3 linked regions of the Macaca mulatta genome follow. The protein of the gene in region 2 interacts with the protein of the main gene of each other region in a pairwise test. Links are inferred from orthologs where the notes say so. Each region holds a gene or a part of one and is shown on either strand. Other genes may lie near its edges. The genes, in order: PRTFDC1, FLAD1 and TRIM23.

Region 1 (10,511 bases), on a different chromosome or scaffold from region 2:
ATGTGTCAATTAAAAATAAAACTAAAAAAAACAAAAAAGAAATGTAAGTGAACACAATATAAACACTAAAAAAAAATAAAATAAAATGCAGGGGACCTACTGCTAAAAGGTAATAAAGAGAATGACAGAAAAATGCAAGTATATTGGCTGGTTATTAACTTTGCAAAGATGCGCATCTTTATTCTTATAGCTCCTTCAAAGGCATATTAGAAAATGGACAGTCTGACCAGGGCCTACTTGAGGGTGGAGGGTGGGAGAAGGGTGAGGATTAAAAAACTATGTATCAGGTACTATGCTTATTACCTGGGTGACAAAATAATCTGTACACCTAATCCCTGTGACATGCAATTTTCCCAAACAAACCTGCGTGTGTACCCCCGAACTTAAAATAAAAGTTGGAAAGGAAAAAAAAAGAAAAGGAAATGGACAGTCTGAGCTAAAATATCCCTTTTTATGGAAAATCTCATTATTTTAATAATGTTATCATTTTTCTGTATTTATTCTCATACCAGCTCTAGATTATTCCTAGACTATAACTATCCCTGATTGTTCACCTTACATCGATCTTTTATTATTATTATTATTATTATTATTATTATGTATTTGTAGGGACAGGGTCTTGCTGTGTCACCCAGGCTGGAGTGCAGTGGTGCAATTATGACTCAATGTAGCCTTAAACTTCTGGCCTCAAGCAATCTTTCCAGCTCAGCCTCCCCAGTATCTAGGTCTACAGGTGCCATGCTACCACAGCTGGCTAAGTTTTTAATTTTTTATAGTGATGTGGTCCCACTATGTTACCCAGCTTTGGTCTTGAATTCCTGGCCTCAAGTGAGCCTCCTGCTTTGGCCTCCCAAAGTGCTGGTATTGCAGGTGTAAGTCATAGTGCCTAGCCCCATCAACCTTAAAAGACAATTCCTTGTCATTTTCACATGGAATAATTTCACAAACATTTGGTCATACATTTTTACAGCATCTCAGGTTAATAATATATTACAGTTTCATAGCATTTTGCAAAGAATTCTCTTGTATGTTATCTCACGTTCATCTCATCATCATATGCAGTAGAGAATAAATGTGTTGCTCCATTTTACAGATGAGAAAATTGATGTATATTACACTGATATAATTGGCTTAGACTCATTGGCTAAAGTAACATGGATTGTTACAGAAAAAGAGGTCCTAGTCCAAAGCTATTCTACTAGATATGTGATATGGTTTGGCTCTGTGTCCCCACCCAAATCTCATGTTGAATTGTAATTACCAATGTTGGGGGAGGGACCCGGTGGGAGGCGATTGGCTCATGGGGGTGGATTTCTCCCATACTGTTCTCGTTATAGTGAGTGAGTTCTCACGAGGTCTGATGGTTTAAAAGTGTGTGGCACTACATCCTTGCTCTCTCTCTCTCTCTCCTGCTCTGCCATGGTAAGACATGCTTGCTTCCCCTTTGCCTTCTGCCATGATTGTAAATTTCCTGAGGCCTCCCAGCCTTGCTTTCTGTACAGCCTGCAGAACTGTGAGTCAATTAAACCTCTTTCTTCATAAATTATCCAGGTCTCAGGTAGTTCTTTATAGCAATATGAGAACAGATTAATACAACACATAAGAGAAATTTGAGGTTTAAAAAGAATTTTTGCCTCTAAATCCTCATAATGCAAGATTAAGAATAAAGCCTGGACAGATGAGCTGTTATTTCTGGATACCGGTCTTTGCAAATACTGTTTGGGTTATCAAGTATTATCTTGTATTATGTTAATGCTCTCCAAAGTATCAAAGTATAATCAGACTGCACAAAATATTATCAAAATATACAAAGATAATAAAGAAAATGAATTAGATTTTAAAAAACTATTTACTCATCATTCTGTGCCCTTTATAGGATGACCTGTATAAGTCTATGTAGGATGTTCTTGAGCACACATTCATAATTGTTGCCTTTCAAGCAAGTTTCATTTTTCACTGTGAACTTGTTGGATTTTACGTTTAAACTAATAGCCTTTCTAAGGGAAGATGATTTATCTACCATTTCCCTTACATGTTCCATAGTGTCTAGGCTGGAACCAAAGTTGTCGCTTTTTGACTTCTGCATGGCAACTACTCCTGTGACATATTTTGAAGTTCCTTGTACACCCTAATCTGGCCCTGTATCCACACTGAGCCTCATGGCTAAGTTTGATATCCAAGCAGTAAGATGGTCTAGTAGAATCCCCTAAAGCACAGGTCATGAGCCATCCACATCACACCCATCTGGTGTCTCTCAGCAGGTGCAGGATTCTAGGTGCTTCCACAGATCTTCCCCACCCAGTGAAGCTGCATTAAACAGCTCCCCAAGAGAGTCCTGAACTCTCAAGTTTGATCACCACCCTAATGATAGCACTTTTCAGCTCCTGGAAATTTTAATGAAGTTGCTGGTGAATATGGTTCCTGGGCCTGGTCTTTGAAAATGAAAAGGGAAGATGGTGCTTGACTTTGGGGAAAAGAAGTGAGAGGCAGACTACAAAAATGGCTCAAAACAACACCCTCTGACAATTACTAAGAGAAAATGTTTACCTGTGCGCTGGGAAACAACACCCCTCATTTTTGTAAGGCAGTTCCCAAGCAGAAGCCTGATTTCAGGATCTCTGGAGCTGCACCCTCCAAGGCAGTGGTGCTTAGAAACGACACGAAGAGCCAGCCCTGCTGAGCAGGACCAGGGCGCCAAGTCTGAATGACTAATATTTTTCCAATCTAGAACGTCATTAACCGATTGATAACTATTTTCCCTTTAAACTAGGCAAAATCAGCATTCCTCTCCCCTCTGTGTGCCAGAATCCGAAGATGAACAAAAGAGGCCTGCATCAGGAAAACTGTGTTCAGTTCTCTTGGATTCAGGCCTTCAACCTGAATTGGGTTGAGTGAATGAAGATGCTGATGAGATGTCAGGGACCTGGGGACTGAAGACACACCCAGAAAAAGCAGGACCCTGCAGGAGTGGACAAAGAACTGGAGCACAGGGATGTGAGAGGGGTTGAAATGAACAACAGACTCATACGAGAAGGATTTCTAATCAGAAGAGAGTGACTGCTTTAATAAAGCTGCAACCTGGAACAATTACAATCTGACCAGATGTTCTTGCAAAACTGGTAAAGCAGAGAATGTGAAAAAATCTCTCCCCCTCCTCCCCTGAATGCAGTTGACCAAAGGCTGAAAGGCCGGATCCTGAAAGCCCAGATCTGATCCCTGCAGATCTGGGCCACCCTAAAAGCAATCGGGTGTAATCTTTCCAGCTCCAGGCCCTGGGATGAGGAAGATGGGGGGAAGGCAGAGAAAGGCGGAGGAAGGTGGAGGGAGGTGAGAGGAGGTGGAGGGAAGTGAGGGGAAGTGGAGGGAGGTGAGGGGAGGTGGAGAGAGGTGGGTGGCGGCTCCAGGGTTTGAAAACACATCCAGGACACTTGCCCATCCTCCAAGAGCACGCCGGCTCGCAGGCTCTTTCACGCTTCTGCTTGGGACAATCGCGTGCATGAAATCTGGCAGGGAAGAGCCAAGGAGATTGTTAGCCCGAGGGCTAGGACGGTGGATCTGGGAAGCAGGGGCCTGGGGGACACGTTCTCTTCCTGCCGCGGGCTGCCTCGTGCTCCCGAGTCCCCGCGGGGCCTGGCGGCGAGGCCGGGGGCTGCAGGCGACCATCCGGCAGGCGGCGGCGGCGACAGCGGTGGCCGCGAGGGACGCGCCCGGGGCCCGCGCTCACGGGGAGCGGTCGCGGCTTGGCAGCTGCTCCCCGCGCCCCCGCGGCCTCGCCAGGGGAGGGGGCGCCGCGCCGGGGCCCTGGATCCGCGCCAGGCCGCTGCTTCCAGCCGGCGGGCCCGGGGCGGGGCGGGGCGGCCGGGTCCCCATCCCCAAGTCCCTTCCCCCACGCAACCTTCGCCCTCCCAGCTCCTTCCCGCGCCGTCTTCCCTTCCCGCGTTCCCCGGGAGAAACATGGCCGGGAGCAGCGAGGAGGCGCCAGACTACGGGCGAGGCGTCGTGGTAAATGCAAACTCCCGATTTTGGGGCTCGCCCCGCTCCCCTTCCTCCCTGGCACCCTGCTTGTAGATTAAATGCCTGCCGTGCGTCGGGAGAGAAAGCGGGCCACCGCTTTGTTCTCCCTCCTGGCGGGGATCGCTTCCATCCTCAGACCCTGGCCTCCTCTCCCCGCCCCCAATCTGAGGAAACGCCGAGTCCCGTCCCTTCACCCCGAGTTCCCAGCGTCCCCCCGCGTCCTCCGGCCGGTAGCCCGCTCCTGCAGCGTCCCGCCGGCGCCCAGCCGTCCCCATCCCAGCGAGCCACGGGGAGCAGCTTCTGGGAGCCGGCCGGGCCGAGACACCCGCGTGCTGCTCTGTAGGCCTCCTTCTTCCTGGGCCTCCTCTTCCAGAGCGGGCTTCAAGTTTTGTTTTTAAAAAGGACACTGAGGGGTTTTGAAGGCAGCCAGGAAATAAAGTAGCTCAAGTTGACAGAACTTGAGCTCTGAAGCCTTTGGTACCCAGGTTGGGGGGCTCTCTGGCAGTGGAGGCCTCTGCAGGAGCTCTGGGACACGCTCCTGCGGGACCTATGGTTTGTCTGTAAAAGGGAGCAACAGCAGGCTGGGCTCCGGAGCGAATTGGGAGGATGCATGTAAAATATCTAGCAGTGTGTCCGGATGGGAGGGTGTGGGATGCTGGTTTCCCAGAACTGAGACTCCTGTTGGTGTCAGCCAGAGGGTCAGTGTGCTAGGATCTAATCCGTTCTTGACCTTGTGGCCGCGTCCTCCCTGCTCCCTGAGAAGTGGTTTTCCTAGAAGGTGGTGGTTATAACTTGTGTCAAGTTCAATGTGAAACTCAATGGTGGTGAGGATGGTGGGTGGAGCTAACTTGCCATCTCTTTCCAGGGATCAGCTTGTCGTTCACAGATAATCTGTTTATGAATATGAATGGCCTGAACTAAAGTAAGTGGGCTGGGGAGGGAAAGGTGACACACTCAGACAGAACCGGTCAGGTTGAAATGTGGGGCTCAGTGCTTAATTTAACAGCAGGCCCTTTCCTTCTTAAAGGATGAGGTGTTGATTTATTTATTCATTCCACAAGTTGATTGTCCTGCTGGGTTGCAGAAGGTGTTGTAGGCGCTGGGGTGCAAAAGACAAAGGCCTTGTCTTCATGAGCTTGCGTTCTAGAGAAGACACAGGCAAGCAGTGTGTAAACAAATAGAGAAAATTTCCAGTAGAGATGTGCAATAGGAGGAGGGTAACAGGATAGAGGGTAATTGGAGGAGAAGCGGGGAGTGATGCTTTTGCTCAGGTGGTCAGGGCAGCCTCTCCGCGGTGACCTTTGAACTAAGATCTGAAGGGTACACAGGAGTAGCCATGTGGACTGCAGGCGGAGACCCGCATATCAAATGCAAAAGAATCATTGTATCCGATTTATGCTTTTATAAAAACCATTCCAGTTGCCCCAGGAGGAGGGGCAAGCCTAGCGGTGTGATGGATGGGAGGGAGACTAAAACGCAAAAAGGGCAATCACTAAGTTCATTGTGGACAAATTGAGTCTGCAGTGCCTGTAAGGCCCACAGATCGGGCTGCACTGTAGGCAATTTGTGAAATTCACATTTGGAATTCAGGAGAGCGATTGGAGAGATTTGGAAATCAGCAGAAAGAATAATATTTAATGTTCAGGAATGCTCAGTGAATGTGGAAAAAACAATTAAAGCAACTGTTAAGGATGGAAGCCTGGAAAGTCCCAAATGTAGGAGGCTGCCTGTGGGGGAGAAGCTGGTTGAAGGAACCGAGAAAGAACGCTGAAGGGTGGGAGGGCAGGCAGGGTGGTGGGTGCCTTGGGAACAGAGCATTGTTGAGCGGGAGGGGCGGTGTCAAGAGGTCATCAGAAGTGTCAGATGCTACAGGGACAGCAAGTTGGATACCAAGATGGAAAACAGCCACTGTATTTAACAATTACAAAGTCATTAGTAGGGAGAATCTTTTAAACAACCACTCCATTGGTAGAACAGTTAAAATATAGTACAAGTTGAGCATCCCTAATCCAAAAATCCAAAATCCAAAATGCCCCCAAATCTGACACTTTCTGTGCGCCAACATGATGCTGAAAGGAAATACTGGCTGGAGCATTTTGGATTTCGGATTTTCAGATTAGGGATGCTCAACCAGGAAGTAAATGCAAATATTCCAAAATCCAAAGAAAAAAAAAAAAACATCAGTAATTAGAAACACATCTGGTCCCAAGCATTTTGGGTGAGGCGTACTCAACTTGTACTACCATAACATACTAGATACTTTTAGAAAAGAATAAGGTGGATCTAGATGCACTGATAGAGTAGGTAAATTGTTGAAGTCTAAGAAACAAGTGAGAGAACATTGTAAATAGCCCAGTCTATTGGTGTCAACAGAGGTCCTCCTGGAAGCAAGGTAATTTTTTGAAAAATGCAAAGAGGTAGTAAGAGGGGTATAAAGAGAATAGAGGGCCAGGTGAGGTGGCTCATACCTGTAATCCCAGCACTTTGGAAGGCCAAGGTGGGTAGATCACCTGAGGTCAGGAGTTCAATAAAATCCTGACCAACATTGTGAAACCTAGCTGCTACTAAAAATACAAAATTAGCTGGGCATGGTAGTACATGCCTGTAACCACAGCTACTCGGGAGGCTGAAGCAGGAGAATTGCCTGAACCCGGGAGGTGGAGGTTGCAGCAAGCTGAGACTGTACCATTGCACTCCAGCCTGGGCAACAAGAGTGAAACTCCTTCTCAAAAAAATAAAATAAAATAAAATAAAGTAAAAATAAAAACAAAAAAATGAGTATAAACTGGACCAGCTGCCATGGGGCTTGGTGCTTGTATGAGAGCCCACCAAGGTGGGAAATAGTCCATGTATAATGGAGATAGTCCCTGCATTTACATCCTTTTCTCCAGTAGAACTTGGAATAATTAGATTAACCTCGAGTTGGATATAAGCAGGCAATTTCAGAGTCAATCGAAGCTGCTGGTAGAAGGCAACTCATGGCAGGTAAGGCAGGAGGGAAGGGAAATCTGGAGAGGATGAGTTTACTGGGAGAATAGAATACTCTCATGGATGGGATACAAAATATCAAATTAGTACCAGTTTTCAAAAGGGGCAGGTGGCTGGGAGTGGTGGCTCACACCTGTAATCCTAGCACTTTGGGAGGCCGAGGTGGGTGAATCACTTTAGCCCAGGAGTTCGAGACCAGCCTGGGCAGCCAACCCTCTCTCTACAAAAAATACAAAAATTAGCTGGGCGTGGTGGTGCATGCCTGTAGTCCCAGCTACTGTGGAGGCTGAGGTGGGAGAAGCACCTGAGCCCAGGAAATCAAGGCTGCAATGAGCCATGGTCGCGCCACTGCCTTCCAGCCTGGGCATCAGAGTGAGACCCTGTCTCAAAAAAGGGGCAGAGGGCAGGTAATAATAGCAAGCATTTCTTGAGCACAAATCTGTAAGGGAGGTCTAGCATACTCCCCATTTTACAGAGGAGGAAACTGAGGCACTGAGAGATTAAGTAAATCACCCAGGTCATATAAGTAGCAAATGGCAGTAGTAGGATTTGAACCAGCTTTCAATCACTATGCTACATAGGAAGCTGTGATTCCAGGATGGAACTTCGGGGTTGGGGCTGTCTGTAGGACTGGTGTGGCTATGTGAATATATTGCTAAATGGGGAATAAAGATGTGGTTTGAGCTAGGTATGTAGTTTGAGCTGGTGGAGGAGCTACAAGATGAAGTTGTTGGAAGGATTGTCGAGGTAGGTATTGGAGTAAATCACCCAAGGAATTGTCCAGGAATGAGGTAGAGAAGAAAATTCTGAGTTGGTAGAAATTTGTTGATAAAGACGGCAAGGGATGTAGAGTCAGATGTTATAAGCATGAAACGAGAAGTAAAGTTTGTGCAAGAGAAGGGAATATTAAGAGATTTAAGATGGCTCTTGCCTATCAATGGCTTTCAGTTGAACTGGGGAGGTGGGACATTTATACCATTAACAATAAATGGTAGCAAATGCTAATTGCCACATAAGAGAGGTAGATCCTAAGGTGAGAAATTTTGCTCGGAGTTGGCTTGCCATTTGATCTGGAGCTAATAAAGTCACCAGATTCCTGGTTGATACCTCTTTGTTACTTCTCAGGGAGAGAGAAAGATCTTCTCTATCCACCTGGCTTTTGGGGATTGGGTTATTAGACATGTTTTTGTTTGTTTGTTTGTTTGTTTGTTTTTGTCTGGTTTGGTTTTCGCCAAAGGATTATCAAGGGAGCCATCATTAGTACTTACCTAAGTGAGTTTGGTAGGAATCAGGAGAAGAGAAAAAGCTGAAATGATTGTTGTGTTTCTGTTATGGCTGGCTTCCCATCACCCCCAGTGAAAATATGGCAGTAGCAGAGATAAGTAATCAGGTATAGCTCCATCGAAAGCACAGCTCTACTAGGTGGTAATGAGTTTGCGTTCGGAAGGGCAAACCCACCACAGAAGAGGAAGGCATGTGGATACCAGGTGGTTGGCCTGTCGAACTTCCTTTGTTCCTCTGTGAGCAGAACCTGGGAATCTTTTAGCAAACCACTTGTCCCCACTTTTCAAGATGTGTGGTTTTGAGGTGAGGCCCTTCCCAGGGTACCTCCCTCCCTGGCTCTGGGGCTGGGACAGGAATCCCAGAACTCCTGTCTGGGATTCTTTGAATTACAATGAAGGGACGAGACCCCCTTTCTCTTGCTGGTGGAGGACAGATGAGAGCTATGGCCTGAAGGAGAGAGCGGGGTCAATCTGTGGAGCTCAGCAGGGGAGAAGAGTAGAGATTAGCTTCTTATATGTGTTTTCTCCCTCAGGGAGAAAAATAATGCAAAAAATAGTCTAAGCACAAAAAAAAATATTCTTAATGACTTACAAAGTTTTCAGTGCATCTTCAGTGCGAAAAAGAGAATCAGAATGAGTTCTGGGATTTGGATGTTGCATAAAATGACTCAGTTCATGGGTTTGTCACTTCCCCCAGCTTGGCTATGTTTTGCTGTTTTGAACAGAGAAAGCATTGTGCTGAATACACTTAGAGCATATTATCTGTGATACTGAAACTATCTACAGACTCTGGTTTTGATTTTTTAAAAAACACGTGAATAACAATTATCTACAGTTCATAGCAACCTCCATTCCTACAGGTTTCAATTTATTTACAACAGAATTTGCATGCACCATTGAAATTAACAAAGCATAAACCAGTATTTCCATCATCTTGAATTGACTTTCATCTCAACAATGAAAACTCACTATTTCAGATTAATTGAAAATAATGGCCAATTTGGATTATAGAACAGTTTTAGAGAAATATATTTTTTACTTTTATACTTTTTGTTTTGTTTTCTTGAGACAGTCTCACTTTGCTGCCCAGGCTGGAGTGCAGTGATGCGATCATGGTTCACTACAGCCTTGACCTCCTAGGCTCAAGCAATCCCCCTGCCTCAGCTTCCCAAGTAACTGAAACTACAGGCACATGCCATCACGCCAGACCAATTTCTTTTTCTTTTTTGTAAAGATGGGGTATATTGCCCAGGCTGGTCTCGCACTCCTGGGCAAGTGATCCTCCCACTTCAGCCTCCCAAAGTGTTGGGATTACAGGCATGAGCCAGTGTGCCAGGCCTCAAATGTATAGTTTTAACTAAGATGCTAAGACCGGTATGTAGGTTTGAGGCACTTCTTTAGATGAATTAACACATATAATTTGTTGTTAAATGTTTGATGTTTCAGTTCATCTAAATGATCAGCATTTATTGCATAAGTACTGTAGACCAGATACTGATATGAGTCTTACATTCATTATCTTATTTAATGCTCACCATGGCCATATGAGGCAGGCACTAACTCCATTTCATAGATGAATACACTAAGACTTAGAGAATGTAATATGCCCAAGGCCTTATGGCTGGCAGACTTGTCCCAGGTGTGTGAGACTTCCACGTCCATGCTCTTAACACAGTACTCTGTGCTGCCTCTGGGCTGTGGATCCATGTTACAGTTTTAATCTATAGGTTTGTTTCATTTGTCATTTTCTTGTCATCTTTTCCTATTTTTGGCATTCATTTTTGGCACTTTTAGTCTCTTTCCTTTTTTTGGCATCACGTGTCAAACATCATGTGTTATACACCATGCAGTGCTCCAGGTATTCTAAGTATATTATCCTTACAATAACCCTATCTATAGGTTTGTGTCTTATTTAAAACAAGGGAAAACTGGATTGCAGAGAGGGTAAGTCATCTCCCTAACATCACAGTAATAAGTGTCAGAGCCAAACTCTTGAACGTGGAGTGGAGAGTATTCTCCGAGATTCAACCAGAGCAGGGGGCAGTAAAGGATTGATGTGGTTGGAGGAATGGATTCAGAAGACCACCTGTTAATAGTGCCACTGGTGGAGGGGCTGCAGAAAGTTGGGTAGATAGTATATGTGGTCTGAAAGGGGATCCAGAAAGTGCTGTACACCTGGGTGATCCCCCTGGGGCCTGGGGCCAGTCAGGGTTCTCCTGGTCTGGT
Region 2 (10,419 bases):
GAGCTCTGTCAAGCTTCTCTTGGAGCCCAAACCTCCAGGCCCCTAGTACCTCTTGATAGTATCCTGTAGAAATTGTTCCAGCTCAGGGAAAGGGGAGATGCTGCGGATATACAGGATCTGGAGGGGGTTTGGAACATCAGGTAATTTCCTGCGGAGGGGGAAGAATCCACAGGCTTGCCAGCATGGACAGGGAAATGGCTCTCCTGAAACAGCTCACTGTTCTCTTTGGCCCCTGGAACAGACTCCCACCCCTTCTCTCTTTTCCTTGTCCTTTCCATCCATTAGACCCACTTCCTCTGGGAAGCCCACTCTGACCTTTCACCTCTCAAATCTAAACACGCATCCCTGGTTCAGGTATGTAAATCTCCCATCTCCCCAGTGGACTGTGACTTCCCTGTGGTCAGGGATAGTGGCCTGCACATCCATACACAAGGCCAGGCACATATCATATGCTCAATATGGTGGGAGAATGGAACTGAGAGATCACCAAGACTATCTCCCCCTTGAACTCCACCTATACACTCCCTCTCCCCTTGCTTTCTGGGATGTGGAACTGGAGAAACAGATCAGGGGTCTTGTCTCCCAGGGGGCAGGCTCACCTCTGCACAGCTGCATGGAAGAGGTGCAGGAGGGCGGTGCAGTCTTTGCCCCCGTTGAAGCCCACACAGAGCTGGGTGAGGCTGTACTGAGCCAGGGCGGTCTCAATGGTCTGTAGGGCACCTGCCACCTTTTCCCCCAGAGAAGACCCTGCCAAGCAGGCAGGGAAGAGGGCATCAGATGGACACATATGGCTATCAAAGGGGAGTGAAGGCATGCTGCCCTTGCTTAAACCCTTCGATATCTTCCCAATTGTCTGAGGATAAAGTCCAAACTCCTTCATGCTGCTCACTAGGCCCTGCAGAGTTGGCCCCTGACCTGCCATCTGCCACCCAGCCACACCTCACGGTAGCCTCAGTGTCATTCCTCCGTAGCAGGGGGCGTGGGGTGTGGGCTTCCTTCCATTCCCCTAAACCCCATGCTGCTTCCTTGCAGGCCATCATTCATACTATTGGCTCTTGCCCACCTACTAGACCAAATCCTCCTTATCGCTCAGTTTATGTCACTTTGCCTTCTCTGACCCCAGATCAAGGCTGATCTCCCTGCTGTGGGAGATCACTCCCTTCATCACCCCATGCAGGATCACCTGTTTAATGTCCATCTTTCTTGTTAAAACACTCGTCCACAAGAGCAGGGCATACATTATTCTTTTGGGCTATATTCCCAACACCTAGCACAGTGCTGATGAAAGTAGGTACTCAATCAACGTTTATTGGAAGAATAATGAATTAACAGAAGCTATCTTCTGCCCTCCCTGGGATTTGCAGGAAGCACCCAACAGCCCCTGCATTACTGAGATCTGGGGTGGCACCAATGGCTTTGGGCATACTGCCCCTCCTCCATAAGGTCCCTACCTGATTCAGCGAGTTTGTATACAGCCTCACTGGCCTGCTCCACGGCGTTGGGCATGTAGGGGACCAGCGATCCCTGGGGCAAACGGGCAGTCAGGTAGGCCAGGCATTCCTCCAGGGGTCCTTCTTCCTCTGAGTCTAGAGTCAGCTTCACCTGATAGTAGTTGCTGCCCCAGTCAGGGTAGGAACCCAGGCCAAGCCTACGTCCAAAGTGGGCCTGGGCCTCAGCCAGAATGGGGGCAATGGAGGCTTCATCAGCAGCCACATACAGCTCCTTTGAGTGGAACTGAACAGCTGGGTTTTGGAACAGTCCCTTCAGCCCCTCCAGCACCCGCTGCAGCAGCTCTGGAATGCCTGGGAAGAGGTAGACATTTCGGACGGAGACCAGTGGGAATCTGAAGGGATGACCAGTGCGAGGATCTGTGCCGTAATGCAGGCGGGCAGAGGAGGGCACCAATGACAGCTTCTCCCAGCCTTCCCCTCCTAGGGCTTTGGTGGCTGCTTCCAGCTCAGGGTGTGGCTTCAGCTCATCCCCAAAGGCCCGTGCCACTGCCTCAAAGGTCACATCATCATGAGTGGGGCCGATGCCCCCTGCTGTGAGGACATGGGTGAAGCGGTTGGAGAAAGAGGTGACCTCAGCTGCAATGGTGGCTACCTCATCAGGTACAACTGAGACTCGGCAAACCTGGACCCCTAGGGAGCGCAGTGTCCGGCACAGAAAGAAGGTGTTGGTGTCCTGAGTGTGTCCCTGGGGGTTGAAGGGGAGGATGAGGCCGTCAGTACTGTAGGGATGAAGGGCAGGGGGTTGGAGATGATGGCTGCATCCACCTGATGATGCAGTGCTCTGCTCTTTGAAGGACACCACCTCAGGCTGCTGAGGGGCCTGGACTGGACACAAGAGTGGGAAAATCCATTTGTTTGTTTTTAAAGCTGGGTCTCTGTCACCCAGGCTGGAGTATAGTGGCTCAATCACAACTCACTGCAGCCTCAACCTCCTGGGCTCAAGGGCCACCTCAGCCTTCCGAGTAGCTGAGACTACAGGTGCGTGCCACCACGCTCAGCTGATTTTAATTTTTTTTTGTGGAAATGGGGTCTTGCCATGTTGCCCAGGCTGGTGTTGAATTCTTGGTCTCAAGTGATCCCCCTGCCTCAGCCTCCCAAAGTGCTGGAATTACAGGTGGGAGCCACCACGCCTGGCCTGCTTTCTTCTTTCTGTCCCCACTGCCACCAAGCAGGTCCTTAGCACCTTTCACCTGGACAATGGCAACAGCTTCCTGGCCAGGCTTCCAGCCTCCAGCCACAGTGCTCTGCTCTGTCTCCTCAGTAACCTTTATTAATGCGTCACTGTGATTGCATCACTCTTGGACTTAAAAGCCATTTGTTGTTTCCAAATGTATACAGAATAAAGTTCAAATTCCTTTGCAGAGTATTTGGGGCTGTCTGTGGCGTACACCCTATCTTCTTTTCCAGCCCCATCTCCCTCTAATTGTCTACAATGGGTTTAGTGGTTAAGGGTTTGTGTTCTGATGGCCGGGCGTGATGGCTCATGCCTGTAATTTCAGACCTTTGGGAGGCTAAGCGGGGTGGCTTGCTTGAGCTCAGAAGTTCAAGACCAACTGGCACAATATGGTAAAACCCCATCTCTACAAAGAAATAAAAAAAACTAGCCGGGCGTGGTGGCACATGCCTGTAGTCCCAGCTACTTGGGAGGCTGAAGTGGGTGGACTGCTTGAGCCCGGAAGGCAGAGACTGCAGTGAGCCGAGATCGTGCCACTGTACTCCAGCCTGGGTGACAGGGACCCTGTCACCAAAGAAAAAAAAAGGGTTTGTGTTTTGGAGTAAGAGATTATCAGGCATTAGGCTGGAATCCCATCTCTACAACTTCCTAGGTATGTAACCCTGGGCAGGTTTCTCAACCTCTCTGACCCTCAGTTTAATCATTAATTGGGCTTTTTTGCTGACCAGGTGTGGTGGCTCATGCCTGTAATCCCAGCATTTTGGGAGGCTGAGGTGGGAGGACTGCTTGAGCCTAGGAGTTCGAGACCAGCCTGGGCAACATGGTGAAACCCTGTCTGTACACAAAAATACAAAAAATTAGCTCTAGCCTGGGTGACAGTGAGATTTTGTCTCAAAAAAAAAAAAAGGCTGGGCAAGATGGCTTATGCCTGTAAACCCATCACTTTGGGAGGCTGAGGTGGGAGAATTGCTTGAGGCTGGGCTGTTTAACATTGTGAGAACCCCGTTTATAAAACAAACACACACAGAAAAATAAAATTTTAAAAAAGAAAAAAAGTGCCAACTTTGTAGGGTTGTTGTGAAGATTAGTAAAATCACATATATGTGATGTATAGCACACTGCCAGGCTCTAGTAGGCACTTAAAATATAAGGGTCATCACCCTGGCCAAAATGGTGAAATCCCGTCTCTACTAAAAATACAAAAATTAGACAGGCGTGGTGGCAGGTGCCTGTAATCTCAGCTACTTGGGAGGCTGAGGTGAGAGAACTGCTTGAACCTAGGAGGCAGAGGTTGCAGTGAGCAACCATTTGCACTCCAGCCTCAGCAACAGGAGCGAAACTCTGTCTCACACACATACACACACATACAAAAATAAAAATAGGGGGTCAGGGCTGGGTGCGGTGGCTCACGCCTGTAATCCCAACATTTTGGGAGGCTGAGGTGGGTGGATCACTTGAGGTCAGGAGTTCAAGACCAGCCATGGTGAAACCCTGTCCATCCCTACCAAAAATTAAAAAAAAAAAAAAAAAAAAGGGTCTATTAAGGCTGAGTGCAGTAGCTCATGCCTGTCATCCCAACTACTCGGGTGGCTGAGGCATGAGAACTGCTTGAACATGAGAGGTAGAGGTGCAGTCAGCTAAGATTCCACCAATGCACTCCAGCCTGGGCAACAGAGTGAGACGCTATCTTAAAAAAAAAAAAAAAAGACAAATTTACAAAGAATATTAAAAAAGATTACTATTAAAACTTGACATTTGGCCAAGCTCGGCGGTTCATGCCTATAATCCCAGCACTTTGGGAGGATGAGGTGTGGGAGGATCACTTGAGCCCAGGAGTTTGAGACCAGCCTGGGCAACACAGTGAGACCCTGTTTCTGCAAAAAAATAAAAATAAATTAGCCAGGTGTGGTAGCTAACACCTGTAGTCACAGCAACTTCAGAGGCTGAGGCAGGAGGACTGCTTGAGCCTGGAAATGGAGGCTTCAGTGAGCTGTGACTGTGCCACTGCATTCCAGCCTAGCTGACAGAGCAAAATCCTGTCTCAAAAATAAAAAAACCCTTGTCATCCTTGAGTCATTTCCAAAAAGGCTGAGTAAAACTCTTAAATATACAATACATACACCTGTACCTCCTCTACTCAAGGGGCTTCCTGTCATTGTTGTGTAGCCCCTCTGCCCTCTACCATACTGCTTGGTAAATTGCAATGACCTTTTTATTTTTATTTTTCTTCAATCAGCTCTCAGGTTGAAAAATTGTAGGGACTTTGCTACAAGTTTTTCAGTAGAGTAATTCAAAGAATGAGGGTTAATTTTCCTTCAGTATGCTGCATCCACTCCAGGATCCTACTGCAGCAAGGAGGCTCCCACCCTGTCTCATTTCCCTCCATGGAGGGATGTGCAGCAGGCCCTTAAGGACAAGAGAACGCGGCGCCCTCCCCCCTTTTCTGTCCCAGACACACCTTAAGGATCTCATCTCCAACAATGATGATGCCAGCCGTCACGCTGCGCCCCGGGGAAAGTTCAGAGGCCCTAGATGTCATGGTCCTGCCTTCTCTGCCCCTCTGCAAGGCCCTCCAGTAGCCACCCAGACCCCCAAATAGGGGTCGCAAGCACAGGCGGCCCGCCAGGTCTACAGGGCACTGGGGGCCATAGCCTGGGAACAGGGGATCCTGGGTCGAGGGAACCTGGAGAAGCCAGAAAGGACAATGGGGGAGAGCAGGCGTGCACGTTCCTCCTTAGAGGAAGACCCTAGTCTTCTCTAACCAGATCCTTGACAAGCGACTCCTTTATTCCTGCCTCTTTAATAAACGTGTTCCCCAATCCCAACCCATGCCCTTTTTTTTTTTTTTTTTTTTGAGACAGAGTCTGGCTCTGTCGCCCAGGCTGGAGTGCAGTGGCCAGATCTCCGCTCACTGCAAGCTCCGCCTCCCGGGTTCGCGCAATTCTCCTGCCTCAGCCTCCCGAGCAGCTGGGACTACAGGCGCCCGCCACCTCGCCCGGCTTATTTTTTTTTTTTTTTTGTATTTTTAGTAGAGACGGGGTTTCACCGTGTTAGCCAGGATGGTCTCGATCTCCTGACCTCGTGATCCGCCCGTCTCGGCCTCCCAAAGTGCTGGGATTACAGGCTTGAGCCACCGTGCCCGGCCCCCATGCCCTTTTAAATGTCTTCTAAGCTTAACTCTAGTCTTAAAAACTCCTTCTCTCTTGAGAACCTACCGCTTTAAGTGTCTTCCGTTTGCTGAGCTGGTCTCCTCAAGTGTCTGCTCTATCTTGGACATCTGTATCCTTTTGAATGTCTCTTCGGGGCATCTGCCCCTTTAAATGTCTACGTTATCCTGGGCCTTGGCCCTTTTCAATGCATTCGCTCTCTCCACCCCGGACCAAAATCCCGTCTCTTTCTACTTCAGGCTTCTGCACCCTTTCTAGCCCTGAAATCCCTTGTCCCCACCAAGCTTCAGATTACTGAGGGCTCCTAGGCTCTCACCTGCCTGTTCTGCCCCTTCACCGGGTCTTTCCCTTGTTCCTTTCCTCATGTCCCGGGGCAGCTTCCGTACTTAAAGTCCCGCCTTATTCACACTTAGCTGACATTGAGTGGTGATTTTGGCTGTCGCTTAGACTCTTCCAGGGTCCCATTGGTATATTCAACTGTCGCTCTCAGGTTTTAGCCAGTGGGTGAGAGCAGGGCCTGATTGTTATAGGCGACAATCACTTGGCCACCCCTCGCCCGGAAATACGGGGGCCGGACCTTAGCCCACGATCGGGGGCGGGACCTCAGGAGTTTAGGGCGCGGGACCTCAGGAGTTTAGGGCGCGAAAGGAGCAGTGGTTGGAGGTGAAGTAAGGTCCTAGGGGTGTTTCTGGTGCTGGATTCAAATTATTGTTATGCATATGTTGCTTTGTTTTATTTAATGAGTCAGTTAGCCATGGTTTAAGCTATTTTCATTCACTGTGACTCTAACACTAGGCTAAGGGCTTTTGGAGTGAGCAGGGATCTTACTTTGTAGCAGAAGTTGGAGGGACACGGAGAAAGATTATCACCATTGTCTGTCGGGTATGAAGACCCTGGAGTAGGTGAGCTTTTGGTGTGTGGAACCTTAACTTATCTCTAGTATAATAGACAAAACTAATTACTTAAACCTCTTTGACAAGAAAGAGTCCCAAAACCCTCTCTTCCTCCACCTTGCTCCAGATGGTGCTTAGTTCAAATGACACCTTTCCCAGTTACTGGTCTTGTAGGTGCAAACGAGGCAGCGAATAGGGAGTGCCTTACATGTTTACTCTGGATCCTCACATCATCCGAGCTTACCCCCATTTCAGTTGCCTTTGGCCCAAACGTGCATCTTAAACTTTTTTCCAGTAATAATCTGGGGATCTTCTCATATGCAGATTGATTCAGTAGGTTTGGGTGGGGCCTGAGATCTGCATTTAGCTATTTCCCATGTGATGGTGATCCCACTGCTCTGTGGACTACATTTTGAATGGTAAGGGCCTGAATTCATTCTTTTTGATTTTTGAGGCGGAGTCTCGCTCTGTCACCCAGGCTGGAGTGCAGTGGCGCGATCTCGGCTCACTGCAAGCTCCGCCTCCCGGGTTCATGCCATTTTCCTGCCTCAGCCTCCCGAGTAGCTGGGACTACAGGCGCCCGCCACCACGCACGGCTAATTTTTTTTTTTTTTTTTTTTTTTTTGTGTGTGTGTGTGTATATATATATATATATATATATATATTTTTTTTTTTTTTTTTTTTTTTTTTTTAGTAGAGACGGGTTTTCAGCGTGATAGCCAGGATGATCTCGATCTCCTGATCTCGTGATCCACCCGCCTCGGCCGCCCAAAGTGCTGTAATTACAAGCGTGAGCCACCGCGCCCGGCCAAATTCATTCTTTGTAGGACTGCTAAACCACACCTTGTCCCAGCACTTTGGGAGGCCGAGGCGGGCAGATCACCTGAGGTCAGGAGTTGGAGACCAGCCTGACCAACATGGAGAAACCCCGTCTCTACTAAAAACACAAAAAATTAGCCGCGCGCGGTGGCGGGCGCCTGTAGTCCCAGCTACTCGGGAGGCTGAGGCAGAAGAATGGTGTGAACCTGGGAGGCGGAGCTTTCAGTAAGCCGAGATTGTGTCACTGCAGTCCAGCCTGGGCGACAGCGAGACTCCATCAAAAAGAAAAAAAAAACCCCTATGAGATACATATCATGCTAATTTTACAGACGAGGAACTGCCTCAAAAAGGTGAAGGTTTGCCACACAACCGCAAAACACTGTGGATGGTAGATTCAGGTGATCAGACGTCTATACCATTCTTTCAAGTAATAAGCCCCCCCCTCTTTTTTTTTTTGAATCAGTCTCTGTTGCTCAGGCTGGAGTGCAGTGACACAAGCACCGTTCACTGCAGCCTTGACCTCCTGGGCTCAAGAGATCCTCCCATCTCAGACTCCAGAGTAGCTGGCCCACAGGGGCGCCCCACCATGCCTGGCTAATTTTTGTATTTTTAGTAGAGACGGGGTTTGGTCATGTTGCACAGGCTGGTCTTGAATTCCTGGGCTCAAGTGATTCCCTGCCTTGGCCTCTCAAAGTGTTGGGATTACAGGTGTGAGTCCCCGTACTTGGCCCTCATTTCTTTCAATTATAAAAAGTCAGCTCTTTGAAAAAAAAAAGGGGCAAAACAGGAATTCCACTTGCCTAGTAAACCACATGTTCCAATATCTTTATTAGTAATACAGGTGATATTTGATCCCCTCCCAAAACAGAATACCAAGTCTGTTCCAGTATTTTCCCAGTGGATTCTCAAGCTTAAGTAAGTGTACATCAGAATCAGTCGGAGAGCTTGTGTTAAAACATTGCCCCGGTGCCCAACCCTGGGTTTAGGATTCACTAGGTCTAGGTTGGAGCCCAATAATTTGCATTTCTAATGAGTTTTCCCGATGTTGATGCCTGCTATTTTAGGAATAAGTGGATGGAAGACAGAAAAAATGGGGGAGATTAATATCCTTACTTAGTACTACTACTTTGTTAGACTAAAGGGGAAGTTATTATTCTGTGGAATGCTTTTTTTAATTGAGACAGCTTCTGTCGCCCAGGCTGAGTGCAGTGGCGTGATTTTGGCTTACTGCCACCTCTGCCTCTCGGGTTCAAGCGATCCTCTCGCCTCAGTCTCCTGAGTAGCAGGGATTACAGGCACACACCACGCCCGGCTAATTTATTTTTATTTTTTTTGAAGACAGAGTTTCACTCTTGTTGCCCAGGCTGAAGCGCAATGGCGTGATCTTGGCTTACTACAACCTCTGCCTCCCAGGTTCAAGTGATTCTCCTACCTCAGCCTCCCGAGTAGCTGGGATTACAGGCATGTGCCACCACGCCCGGCTAATTTTGTAGTTTTAGTAGAGATGGGGTTTCACCATGTTGGCCAGGCTGGTTTCAAACTCCTGACCTCAAGTGATCTGCCCTCCTTAGCTTCCCAAAGTGTTGAGATTACAGGCATGAGCCACCACGCCCGGCCTGGAATGTTTTCTTAAACAGCTACATTTTGCACCTGTTTTCTCAAAGCTTCCTTCTTTACCTACCTGCATAAGATGCCTGAAATCTTTGCCCCCAGTCCACACTCCAGACCAATTAAGAATCCTTAAGAATGACTCAAGCAGGCATCAGTACTTGTAAAGCTCCCCAGGTGATTCCAATGCCCAACCAAAGTTAAGAACAGCTGAAAACCTCCCCCAACCGAGGGGCACAGTGAATAGGTCATAGGTGTGCCTATTATTCCTATTAGGAATTGGGACACACAAGCATCCTTTTACCCGTGTGTGCCATTCAAATATTGGGACTATGTTAAAGGCAGCACCCCGACTGTAGGAAGCAGTTCATTTGTTTGGATGAGATGAAGTTGTCCCTATATAACCTCTACCTCGGGCCAGTAGTTAGAGTGAAATATGTTTCAGTAGATGTTTGACAGCAAGTCTGCTTAAAGTAGATTAAAAACGAGTTATCTGAATGTTAAAATAAACCTCATTATCAGCAAAGAGCTGAGCTTCATTATCAAACTGAAGGGCATGTAATTAGAACCATGATATTGATGATGCTCACCCTGAGTGAGGGGAAAAAACCCTTACAATTACAGCATTAGATTATAAAAACTTCCTCTTTAATCAAGGCTTTTAACATGAACAGATTTCTTGAATAAAATGGAAAGTTTCCAGTACACTGAAACATAAATCCACAAGTCACCATACATACAACACCCGGCAGGAAAAAAACAAAAACAGCAAGTTTACATGATCTCTGTTAACAGCCATGGTCTCAAACTCAGATGCTTCCTCCATCTGCCAAGTGTGTTCTGGATACAGAGCACATCGTGGCTTCTGGGGTCACACTCAGCTGAGGCTGTGGGTCCACAGAGCACTCATCTGGCTAGACTATGGTGGTGGTGGCTCTACTCAAGAAGCAAAGCAGTTACCAGCACATTCAAACAGTGTATTGAACATCTTTTAAATATCAAAGTGAGAAACAAGAAGGCAACATAATAATATTATCAGAAAGATGTTAGGAAGTAAGGACAGCTGTGTAAAGCTTGAGGCTGAAAAGTAGCTTGCCAGCTTCATTTCTTTGGCTTCTTGGGTAGTGGGCGCCGGAACAGCAAGATGTGAGGTTCTGAAAGAGTGAGGGAAATCTAAGAGACAAGCGCACACCATTCTATGTACAACCTATAGTGTATTCCACTACCATCTCCCCAGCTATCACCCA
Region 3 (10,249 bases), on a different chromosome or scaffold from region 2:
GAACCAGTTTTGTGACACTGTCTTCTCCTCATAACCCAGGCAATTAAACAGCATGGGGACCCTAATACCATGGCTTTTGAATTCCAATTTGGAGGAGAACAAGAAGTCTAGACTCCTATTTTTTTCTCTTAGAGCACAGAAGTCCTCAAGTTGCCCCAAATTAAGTCACTGATAATAAATTCCGATATATGGTACATAGGCTTAAGAATAGAGCCTTCCAATATCTGCAAGTTAGGCTTCCTAATCAGACCCAAAGCAGTAGGAGCCATAAAACAGGCTTTTTCACATCTTAACTGCAGAAAAAAATAAGTTGAATCACTTCTCCCCCAAAATCATTAGAGAATTACTTGATGAGGGTTCTCCCACTGCTAGGATAACCATGAGTATGGACTCTTGTCATGATGTCACAATAGAATCACTGTCCGATTCTAGAGTCAGAAGAATAACTAATTTCATGATTCTTTTTACCTACTGATACTGCCCACTAACAGATCTGACAACTCTCAAATTCATAAATAATTGTGATCTTTAACATCCATAATTTTAAATACGGATCTAAATGTTATCACATATTCTTTCAAGAATAATGCACTCATGTTTTTCTTCCCTGTTCCTTACACTTTCACATTGTAAAATATGGCATCGAGTAATTCTCTTGTCTAAAGTCAATCAGTGTTATACTCAAGAGACAATTTTTTTTTTTTTTGAGACAGATTCTCACTCTGTCACCCAGGCTGGAGTGCAGAGGTACGATCTTGGCTTACAGCAACCTTCGCCTCCAGAGTTCAAGTGATTCTTGTGCCTCAGCCTCCCGAGTAGCTGGGACCACTGGTGCACACCATCACGCCTGGCATTTTTGTATTTTCAGCAGAGATGGGGTTTCATAATATTGGCTAGGCTGGTCTCGAACTCTTGAACTCAAGTGATCAGCCACCTCACCCAACCAAGAATAACAAAATATTATCTTTAACATTTTACATATTAAAAGATAAAGTGAACCTAAATGACCACTTAAATTGATACATTTGGCATCCAGCATCAGTAAATTGAAATGCTGTGAAAACTGTTGATCAACTAGAACAATGGGTTAACTAGAAGATGGTACCAAAGAGGTTTAATAAAGTTGAAACTATCAATTTTAAAGCACTTACCAGTTTAGGCTGTTTATTCTTTTTTTTTTTTTTTTGAGACAGGGTCTCACTCTGTCACCCAGGCTGGAGTGCAATGGCACAATCTCAGCTTACTGCAGCTTCTGCCTCCTAGGTTAAAGCGATTCTCCTGCCTCAGTCTCCCGAGTAGCTGGAATTACAGATGTCCACCACCATACCTGGCTAATTTTTGTATTTTTAGTATAGACGGATTTTCACCAAGTTGGCCAGGCTGGTCTCAAACTCCTGACCTCAAGTGATCTGCCAGCCTCGGCCTCCCAAAGTGCTATTACAGGCATGAGCCACCACGCCTGGCTTAGGCTGCTGAAATATTCTTTCTTAGGTATCCTTTATTTTGGAAAACAAAGAATAACAGAAAACTAAAAATTCTCAGTGGCAGTCTCTGTATCACTGGAATTTAACTTTTTGTTTGTTTGTTTTATGAGACGGAGTCTCTGGCTCTGTCACCTAGGCTAGGGTGCAGTGGCGCGATCTCGGGTCACTGTAAGCTCCACCTCCCGGGTTCACCCCATTCTCCTGCCTCAGCCTCCCTAGTAGCTGGGACTACTGGCGCCTGTCACCAAGCCACGCTAATTTTTTGTATTTTTAGTAGAGACGGGGTTTCACAGTGTTAGCCAGGATGGTCTCGATCTCCTGACCTCGTGATCACCCGCCTCGGCCTCCCAAAGTGCTGGGGTTACAGGCATGAGCCACCGCGCCCAGCTGGAATTCAACTGTTTTTAATAGCTTCTAATTTGTATAAATCACACGTAGCAGCTAATAGAACTGTTCCAAATTCCCATCAGAGTAGTTGGTAGAGGAATTATTTCTGAGAATGCCGTTTCATTCATTAGGAGGCAACATGAACTCTTGGAAAGAGAGAGGTAGGCCTTGCGTTGAAACACTGCCTCAATCACTTACTAGCTATGTGATCTTGGAAAAGTTGCTTAAACTCTAAGAATTAATATTTACTCCACATACTTGAAGTGAGATCGCGAGATAAAGAACATGACAATTAGTTGCTTTTCTTCTTTTCCCTCTTCTCCACGAGTAACAATCCATTTTAGTCTCCATTTTAGCCTAGATCATTTGCTCAGGTTAAGCTTAGAGGTCCCATCACTGTATAACTTAACATTACAAAGTTCCACAGTAAGAGACAATCTCGCTAACACAGGCATCATTATATGAGACTGATGAGCTTCTAGAATGTCTGATGACTACATCATAATGGGAAGGATGTGTTCCTCAAAATGGATGCCACAAGTAAAATAAGTGCAATTCAATTGAACCCAAATGTTTATTGAGCATTTCCTCAGCTCATTCAATAAGTCATTGTTAACCCCGTGTTAGAGCATCCAAGAAACAAAAAGTGCATTTGTTGTAGTAAAAAATAAAATAAAGCTGAAAAGATTTCAAATAAAAAGATTTCCAGAAAATAGGCATTAAAAATAAAAAAAAAAAAAAAATTGTCCTAAAAAAAAAAAAGCCTGCTGTTTTTTCCTAAATAAAGATCTAATTAAATCACCAAACTTACTCAAAATGGCTGTGTACAAAAAATGAGAGTTGACATTAGATCTCGGACATATTTCCCACATACACAGTGCTTTGAAGTAAACTGCAGTTTGTTTTTAATAAATCTAAGTTATATGTTGTATTACTATATATTGCTAAATTCTTTGCACTACTGTTATGCAATACTAATTTTACAGGGGAAACTGAAGCCTGATAACTTCGTCAGTGCCACAGGAAGAAACGAGAGACAGAAGGAAAAAGCACTTTACATGCCCGCTGTAATTCATCTTAGTTCACAGAGATCTCCACGGTAGGAGCGGGACGTCAGCTTCTGCCGCTAAAATCTCGTGACTGAAGCAGCATAGATCAGAAAGAGTGATTTACCAGGTATCTATTTCATTCTAGAAAGGAGCCCGTAAACCTAAAAAGCATCCAGGCGAAATCGCTTCCTCCCGCCTGGCGCCAAAGGACAGAGCAGGAGGGCGAGCACTGACGGTGTTTAAGAAGGCTGAGGCCTACATGGCAAAGGCTTCGATAAATAGGGAAGGGAAGAAAACAGAAAACGGGTACTCAGGTTCGCAAAAGTTTACCTTTCAGCGCCAGCAGGTGCTCCTGTTTAGGGGGATTCACTTCCATTTTGACCAGCACTTTTGACCCACGGCCTACGGGGGCTGGACAGGTTCAACTTGGCCCGGAAGGAAACGGAAAACCTCGCGTTTGGCAAGACCAGAAGTCAAACGCACTTTCAACTTCTCTCCGGTGGTGGTACCTTAAATTTTCTTACTGTGTTCTTTACAGACTGGCTTCTTCTCACCAAGTCCATTTCTTTTATCTTAGAAACGTATGCATAAAACACTTTGTTTTCCATCTGCTATCGCACATCGCGACTTCAGGAAAAGAAACCACCCCTCGGTTACAATACGCCGCCTCCCAAAGGCCAACTTTGCCGGAGTTTAAAAAAAATAAATAAATAAAAGAGAGAGTGGCATGCTGGGATTTGTAGTTTATACGAAAATCGCGTTGCATGCAGGGAGATGCCCGTATCCCTTCACCGCCCTCAGTTTACACCCTGGTTGGTTTGCGATTCGAGAGGAAAAATCATTAAAGGAGCTGGAGTTTCACCCCAAAACTTTAATTCTGTTTTATCCCTTCTTTTTTTTTTTTTCCCTTGTCTTTCCTCCAGCAGTTGCAGACTACGTAATGAAAAATAACAAAAGTGCCCATGAGCGAGGCTGTGCAACGAAGTACCCCACGACTGCAGGGAGGAGTAGTAAGAGTCGGCTAAGCGGCGCCCTGTGTCCTACTGCGCCTGTGCGCCGGTAGCGTGCGCAGAGGCCTCTGGGTAGGTGGCTTAACCCCGCCTCTCAGTTGAGGACTCTGAAGGCTGCATCTGTGGCGCTACTCCTACGAGGATGGCTACTCTGGTTGTAAACAAGCTTGGAGCGGGAGTAGACAGTGGCCGGCAGGGCAGCCGGGGGACAGCTGTAGTGAAGGTGAGGGACCTTGCGTGCTCTGTTCTCCACCATTGGCCTCCCTTCGGTTCATCCTGGAGACCTGGCTGCATCGCCACGGCCCAGGCTTCGATGGGTGGGATGCGCGGCCTCTGGGCCCCTTTTGGCTTTACAAGTCTTGTCCTCTCCTCTGCATCCTTTCTCTCCTATGGCCTGAAGTTGCCTGGTCTTCTGCTCATGACATGTCATAATCGGAACATTTATGAAAAGGAGCTTGCGGTCCAGTGACCTAGACCGGTCTTTTCTCCAGGTCCTCTGCTTTTAGTTAAACTCAACAGGCATTAGTTAGCTTAGTATTATAAATTGGCCCATCGTCATCGTAACTACGTACTACGTTAGGTGTTTTAGCTCGTTAATATCTACTTATGAAGTAGATGTTAATTCCCATTTTACAGGGAGGAAATCCAGGTTTAGGTAAACACAGTGTGTGGCAGAGCCCCGGGTTGACCGGCTTTAAAGCCTATGCTTTTCCCTATTGTACTGCGTCTGTAATGAGACATCTGTTACTGGCTGAGCTGCCCTCTCTCCTGTTAGTAGTACAGTCTATTAACACTTTTCAGAAGTCTGCAACATCGTCATAGCTGGGCGTTAACGATAGAGTTAATGAATTTCCTTATGCTTGAAGTTTGAGATTCTACCATGTATAAATGCTCCAGAATGAATTTGCTAAAAAATCATTTGAAATATGTGGCAGTCATTTTTCCCTTCCACACTTGTGCACGGAGAGATCTGGAGGGGAGAACTGATCTCATTGGTTTTATAGAGTAACCTTCGGGAGCATCTCTAATCTAAGAGATTGAAAATTCTCATTCCTGGCTACATATTAGGATCACTGAAGATTTTTAGTACACTACTGATGCACTCCTCCTCCAGTTCTGATGAGGTTGACAACAACAGTAGATTTTAGGAATGCCCATAAGTTATTTTAATATGTAACCAGGGTTAAGAATTACCGAACAGGATAATATATGAAGTTCTTTTAACGTCTTGAAAAATAGACACCTACGATTATTCAGTTAATGTTGGTTTTGTATGACAGCAAGTGAGACATTTCTTCCCACAATTTAGTATCAGTCAGTATTGGTGGTCGTTGATTCAGATGACCTTTAGGTAGTAATGAAGTTATTCTACAGGTGCACAGCATATCTGATAACGCAAAAGAGCCCTCGTTATTAGGCATGTTGTGTGATTGAGATTTTATTTATTGAATTGTGCTTTTGCTAAGTAGAGAATACTTGCAGAGTACTTTGTGAATTAACTTGAAGTTTAAGTTTTATTTCATAATTGGAAGGGGTATCATTGCAGTATCTATTTTGTTGTTACGCTGTTTGCCTTATAGTCTCAAAAGTGTACCAAAGCCTGATGTAACTCCAGTTTGTTACAGCACAGAATTTGATACATCAGAGGCTCACCTTGTTCATTTTCATCTTAACATGTAAAATGTTCCTGAACTGTGCAATAAAATAGTCCTTTCTGACAAAATCTTCATGCCATAATTTGTAGTAGCTATAGGGGTATAAACTGAAAAAAACCTTACTGTCATTTGTATAGATGAAAGCAATAAGTATTTATTGGAAGGTAAAAATTGAAGTATATAATGCTAATACTGTGTAAAATGGCCTTGTGCTTGTGAACAAGTTGATAATTACATGGTTTTTATCATTAGAGAAACCAGTAACATAAAAATCTGATATGGCTAGGCGCGGTGGCACACGTTTGTAAAGCACAAAGTGCCTGGGAAGCACTTTGGGAGGCCGAAGTGGGCTGATCACTTGAGGTCAGGAGTTTGAGACTAGCCTGGCCAGCATGGCCAAACCCTGTCTCTACTAATAATACAAAAAGTAGCCAGGCATTGTGGTGTGGGCCTGTTAATCCCAGTTACTCAGGAGGCTGATCAGGAGAATCACTTGAACCCAGGAGGGGGAGGTTGCAGTGAGCCGAGATTGTGCTACTACATTCCAGCCTGGGTGACAGAGTGAGACTCCATCTGAAAAATAAAAAATAAAAAATCTGATATTTTGAAATAACTGACATGTAAAAATGTATCACAGTTTGTTTTGCTTAGTGAGTCTTCTTAGGCCTTTTAAAATTTAGTCTGAGGCTGGGCACAGTGGCTCACACCTTTAATCTCAGCACTTTGGGAGGCTAAGGTGGGAGGATTGCTTGAGCCCTGGAGTTTGAGACCAGCCTCGGCAACATAGTGAGACCCAACCTCTACAAATAATAATTAAAAAAATTAGCCAGGCATGGTGGCACATGCCTGTGGTACCAGCTACTTGGGAGTCTGAGGCAGGAGGATTGCTTGAGCTCGGGAGGTCGAGGCTGCAGTGAACCATGCTCAGGCCACTACATTCCAGCCTGGCTGACCCTTTTTTTTTTGAGAAAGAGTGAGACCCTTTCTCAAAAAAAAGAAAAAAAAAAAAATATATATATATATATAAAATCTGATTGATTACAGTTTGATTTACATGTAATAAGTTTGAAGCTGTTTTGGCATTTTGTGAAATGTAAAATTAAGAGCTTTTTCCTATCTAGGGCTTTTTGCTGTTAACCACAATTCCTATTCATAGATACTGAGGAAATATTTTCTTGCTGGATTATTTACCAAGTTGATGCAAAATAGTCTAGTAACTTTATTTTCGGACCTGTGTTTGGTTTGCTAATCAATGGAATTTTATTAGTGCTTTTTGAAAAATACGGTAACAGCATAAGGAAATTCTTTTAAATCTTGTACAGTGGTGGGATCAGAGATACAGGATTGAAATGAACTAAACAAAATTTTAATATGGTTCTTTGGAGTTTATAAACAAATTTAATTTATTAGAGTTTTAATACAGCATTTATAAAATGTTGCATTTATTTTATATCAAATTCTATTGTGATTTTTTTTGTTTTTGAGTCGGAGTCTTGCTCTGTCGCCTAGGCTGGAGTGCAGTGGCACAATCTCGGCTCACTGCAAGCTCCACCTCCCAGGTTCATGCCATTCTCCTGCCTCAGCCTCCCAAGCAGCTGGGACTATAGGCGCCCACCACCGTGCCCGGCTAATTTTTTGTATTTTTAGTAGAGATGGGGTTTCACTGTGTTAGCCAGGATGGTCTCGATATCCTGACCTCGTGATCCACCCACCTCGGCCTCCCAAAGTGCTGGGATTACAGGCATAAGCCACCGCGCCTGGCCTGTGAATATTTTTTCTATATTTAATTGAATTTTTTTTTTTTTGAGGCAGGTTCTCATTCTGTCACCCAGGTGGGAGTGCAATGGCACAATCATGGCTCATAGCAACCTCAACCTCCTGGGCTCAAGTGATCCTCCCACCTCAGTTTTTTATTTTTTTGTAGAGACAGGGTCTCACTGTGTTGCCCAGGCTGGTCTTGAACTCCTGACCTCTAGCAGTCCTCTTGCCTTGGTGTGCCAAAGTGCTGTGATTACAGGTGTGAGCCACGGTGCCTGACCTAAATGGATTTGATAACGTGAAACTTTCCCCTTTTTAAAAAATGTAGGATGAATTGAAGTATGTGTATATATGAATAATAGATAGAATTATACATGGGTAGCTGTTCCCTAGCTGTTTCTCTTTCTCATGGGGAACCGATGTTCCAGTGTTACTGGTGTCCTATGTATCCTTCCAGGAAGACAGTACGTTTATACAACAATATAAAAATTTGCTCTTTCCCCACCTTTATGCAAAAATGAGTATATTCTATTTATCATTTTTGTTTTAATCATATGAAATCATTCTGTGTGTACATGAAAAACGTCATCTTTCTCACTATCCTATATAGTTTTATAGTATTATGAATGTGCCATAATTTATTTTCCAAGCTGATATTGATGTGTATTTACTTTGTTTCCAATTTTTTGCTAATGCAAATGATGCTTTAAGGACTAACATACAGATTTTGTCACACATGTCTAATATGCTCGTAGGATAAATTCCTGCAACTAGAATTACTGAGTTACTTAAACTTGGTAAGTATTGACAGGTTGCCCTTCATAAAAGCTGTATTGCTCAATAAACATTTCATAGCAATTAGTAATGTATGACAGTGTCTGCTTTCCCACACCTTCACTAACAAAGTGTTACCAACATTTTTGATCTAATCTGAAAAAAAAAGTATTTGATGTAGCTTTGATTTGCATTTTTTTGTTTCTTTATTTTTTTGAGACCGAGTCTCACTCTGTGATCTTGGCTCAGTGCAGCCTCCGCCTCCCAGGCTCAATCGATTATCCTGCCTCAGCCTCCTGAGTAAACTGGGATTACAGGCGCCCACCACTATGCCTGGCTAATTTTTTTGTATTTTTACTACAGAAGGAATTTCACCGTGTTGTCCAGGCTGGTCTCGAACTCCTGACCTCAGATGATCCACTTGCCTCGGCCTCCCAAAGTGTTGGAATTACAGGCATGAGCCACCGTGCCTAGCCTTAATTTGCATTTTTCTTGTTATGAGTTAGATTGAACATCTTTTCATGTAAAGAATTTTCATCGTCTTTTCTGTGAACAATTTTTTTTGTTTCTTATTTTTATTTATTTTTCTCTTCCCAAACCCTTATTTACATTGAAAGACTAAATTTAAATTTCTTTTGAACCATAATAATATACAAAGCAATTATGAATTATCACTTCATGGTGAAAGATATTTGTATCTCAAGCCCAAAGTCCAAGTTAATTACAGAGTTAGGTTTAAAATCGTAGTAGATTTAGTCTGATTTCTGCCTTGGGTTTTCTGTTTTTTACCTTGTGTTGTGTGTTTGATGATGTTGAGCTTAATTGTTTTTAAATTATTTTACTAGACTTTATGTAAGCACTAGGAACTTGGTATTTAAAATACCCTGTTCCTGAGGGTTTTTTGGTCCAACAGGGAAAGACAGACTAGAAAACCAAGGTATTAAAGCATTTTGGGTGTTATGGTAGACACTTATACAGAGTACTTGGGGGCCCAAAGGACAAGTATAGTCCTTTCCTCAGTATTAGCATGAAGAAACATGAAACAGTTTCTCATGTTCTGAGAACTATAAGCTGTTGGATATAGTTGGAGCACAGGGTCAGAAGAGTGTGGCAGTGAAGCAGTAGAACAGGGACCAGATTGTAGTGGGTCTTGAATGACAGGAGTTTGAGGTATGATTGAATAGTACAGTGGGTATTTTAAAAAAATTAATGAAACACTACAAATATACTTAGAAATAAGTGCTGAAAATGCTTTATTGCTATAAATACAATTTGTTGACTATTTATAAAACATAAACATATGGACTTGAGAATCAGAATATGCTGATAAATAGCCTTTCTTTTGACTGACTGTGTAGCCTTGTGCAAGTCATGTGTCTGTAACTAGAATTAGATAGACAAACTAATTTCTGATTCAGAGCTATATTTATTGATAGAGCACAGGAATTGAAATTTAAGGTGACTGCTTTTTTGACTTTGTATTATTTAATGTACATTAGATACCAGAAACATGAAAGTTAGTTGTAGTCTTTTCTTAACAAGTTCTTTATCATTAACAGGGGTAATTGTTAGCACGTATTTTAGATTATTTTTGTTGAAATTAATGATAGTTTATTTGTGTTGAAATTAATGATGGGTTAGGTAGTTGCAGAGAAATTGCTTAAGAACCCGCCTTCAGTAGAATTACATATTGTTTGTACAGATTCAGATGTAATGAGTGAAATCATAATTTTCAAAAGATAATGAAGATGTTAGTTTACAGCATCTTTGCCCCTAACACTACTATTAGTATTTCAAAGATATTTCGTTACGATATAATTTTGGCAGGGTCTGTCAGATGGAATGACTTAAAAGTGATTTAAGATTTTACAACTTACATAGTTCTTTTTCATGGAGGAATAAAGTAACAATGTTGATTCAATATATTAGGTGAATTTTCTTATATACCTAAAATATGTATGCTTTTAAAATGGTTTAAAGAGTACATCCTTCGTTTTCAAATATTAGGTGCTAGAGTGTGGAGTTTGTGAAGACGTCTTTTCTTTGCAAGGAGACAAAGTTCCTCGCCTTTTGCTTTGTGGCCATACAGTCTGTCATGACTGTCTCACTCGCCTACCTCTTCATGGAAGAGC

Evidence for each region.
Region 1: the proteins of FLAD1 (region 2) and PRTFDC1 interact in binary tests that used the Homo sapiens proteins (3 or more experiments, as listed by UniProt). The two-hybrid records come from large-scale screens. The link is inferred for Macaca mulatta from reciprocal best matches to the Homo sapiens genes FLAD1 and PRTFDC1.
Region 3: the proteins of FLAD1 (region 2) and TRIM23 interact in binary tests that used the Homo sapiens proteins (3 or more experiments, as listed by UniProt). The two-hybrid records come from large-scale screens. The link is inferred for Macaca mulatta from reciprocal best matches to the Homo sapiens genes FLAD1 and TRIM23.

What each region holds. Positions count from the first base shown.
Region 1 is NC_133414.1:26,382,025-26,392,535, reverse strand, and holds the start of PRTFDC1 (phosphoribosyltransferase domain-containing protein 1), read left to right. Parts: upstream 1-3,923; 5' UTR 3,924-3,954; coding exon 3,955-4,002; intron 4,003-4,879; exon of another isoform or gene 4,880-4,936; intron 4,937-10,511. UniProt on the Homo sapiens protein: Has low, barely detectable phosphoribosyltransferase activity (in vitro). Binds GMP, IMP and alpha-D-5-phosphoribosyl 1-pyrophosphate (PRPP). Is not expected to contribute to purine metabolism or GMP salvage.
Region 2 is NC_133406.1:112,014,700-112,025,118, forward strand, and holds the start of FLAD1 (FAD synthase), read right to left. Parts: upstream 6,228-10,419; 5' UTR 5,901-6,227; intron 5,369-5,900; 5' UTR 5,225-5,368; coding exon 5,144-5,224; intron 2,197-5,143; coding exon 1,452-2,196; intron 748-1,451; coding exon 600-747; intron 149-599; coding exon 50-148; intron 1-49. Other genes in the region: CKS1B (cyclin-dependent kinases regulatory subunit 1), read right to left, coding at 10,274-10,326. UniProt on the Homo sapiens protein: Catalyzes the adenylation of flavin mononucleotide (FMN) to form flavin adenine dinucleotide (FAD) coenzyme.
Region 3 is NC_133411.1:73,708,074-73,718,322, reverse strand, and holds the start of TRIM23 (E3 ubiquitin-protein ligase TRIM23), read left to right. Parts: upstream 1-4,039; 5' UTR 4,040-4,072; coding exon 4,073-4,153; intron 4,154-10,124; coding exon 10,125-10,249. Other genes in the region: TRAPPC13 (trafficking protein particle complex subunit 13), read right to left, coding at 3,251-3,296.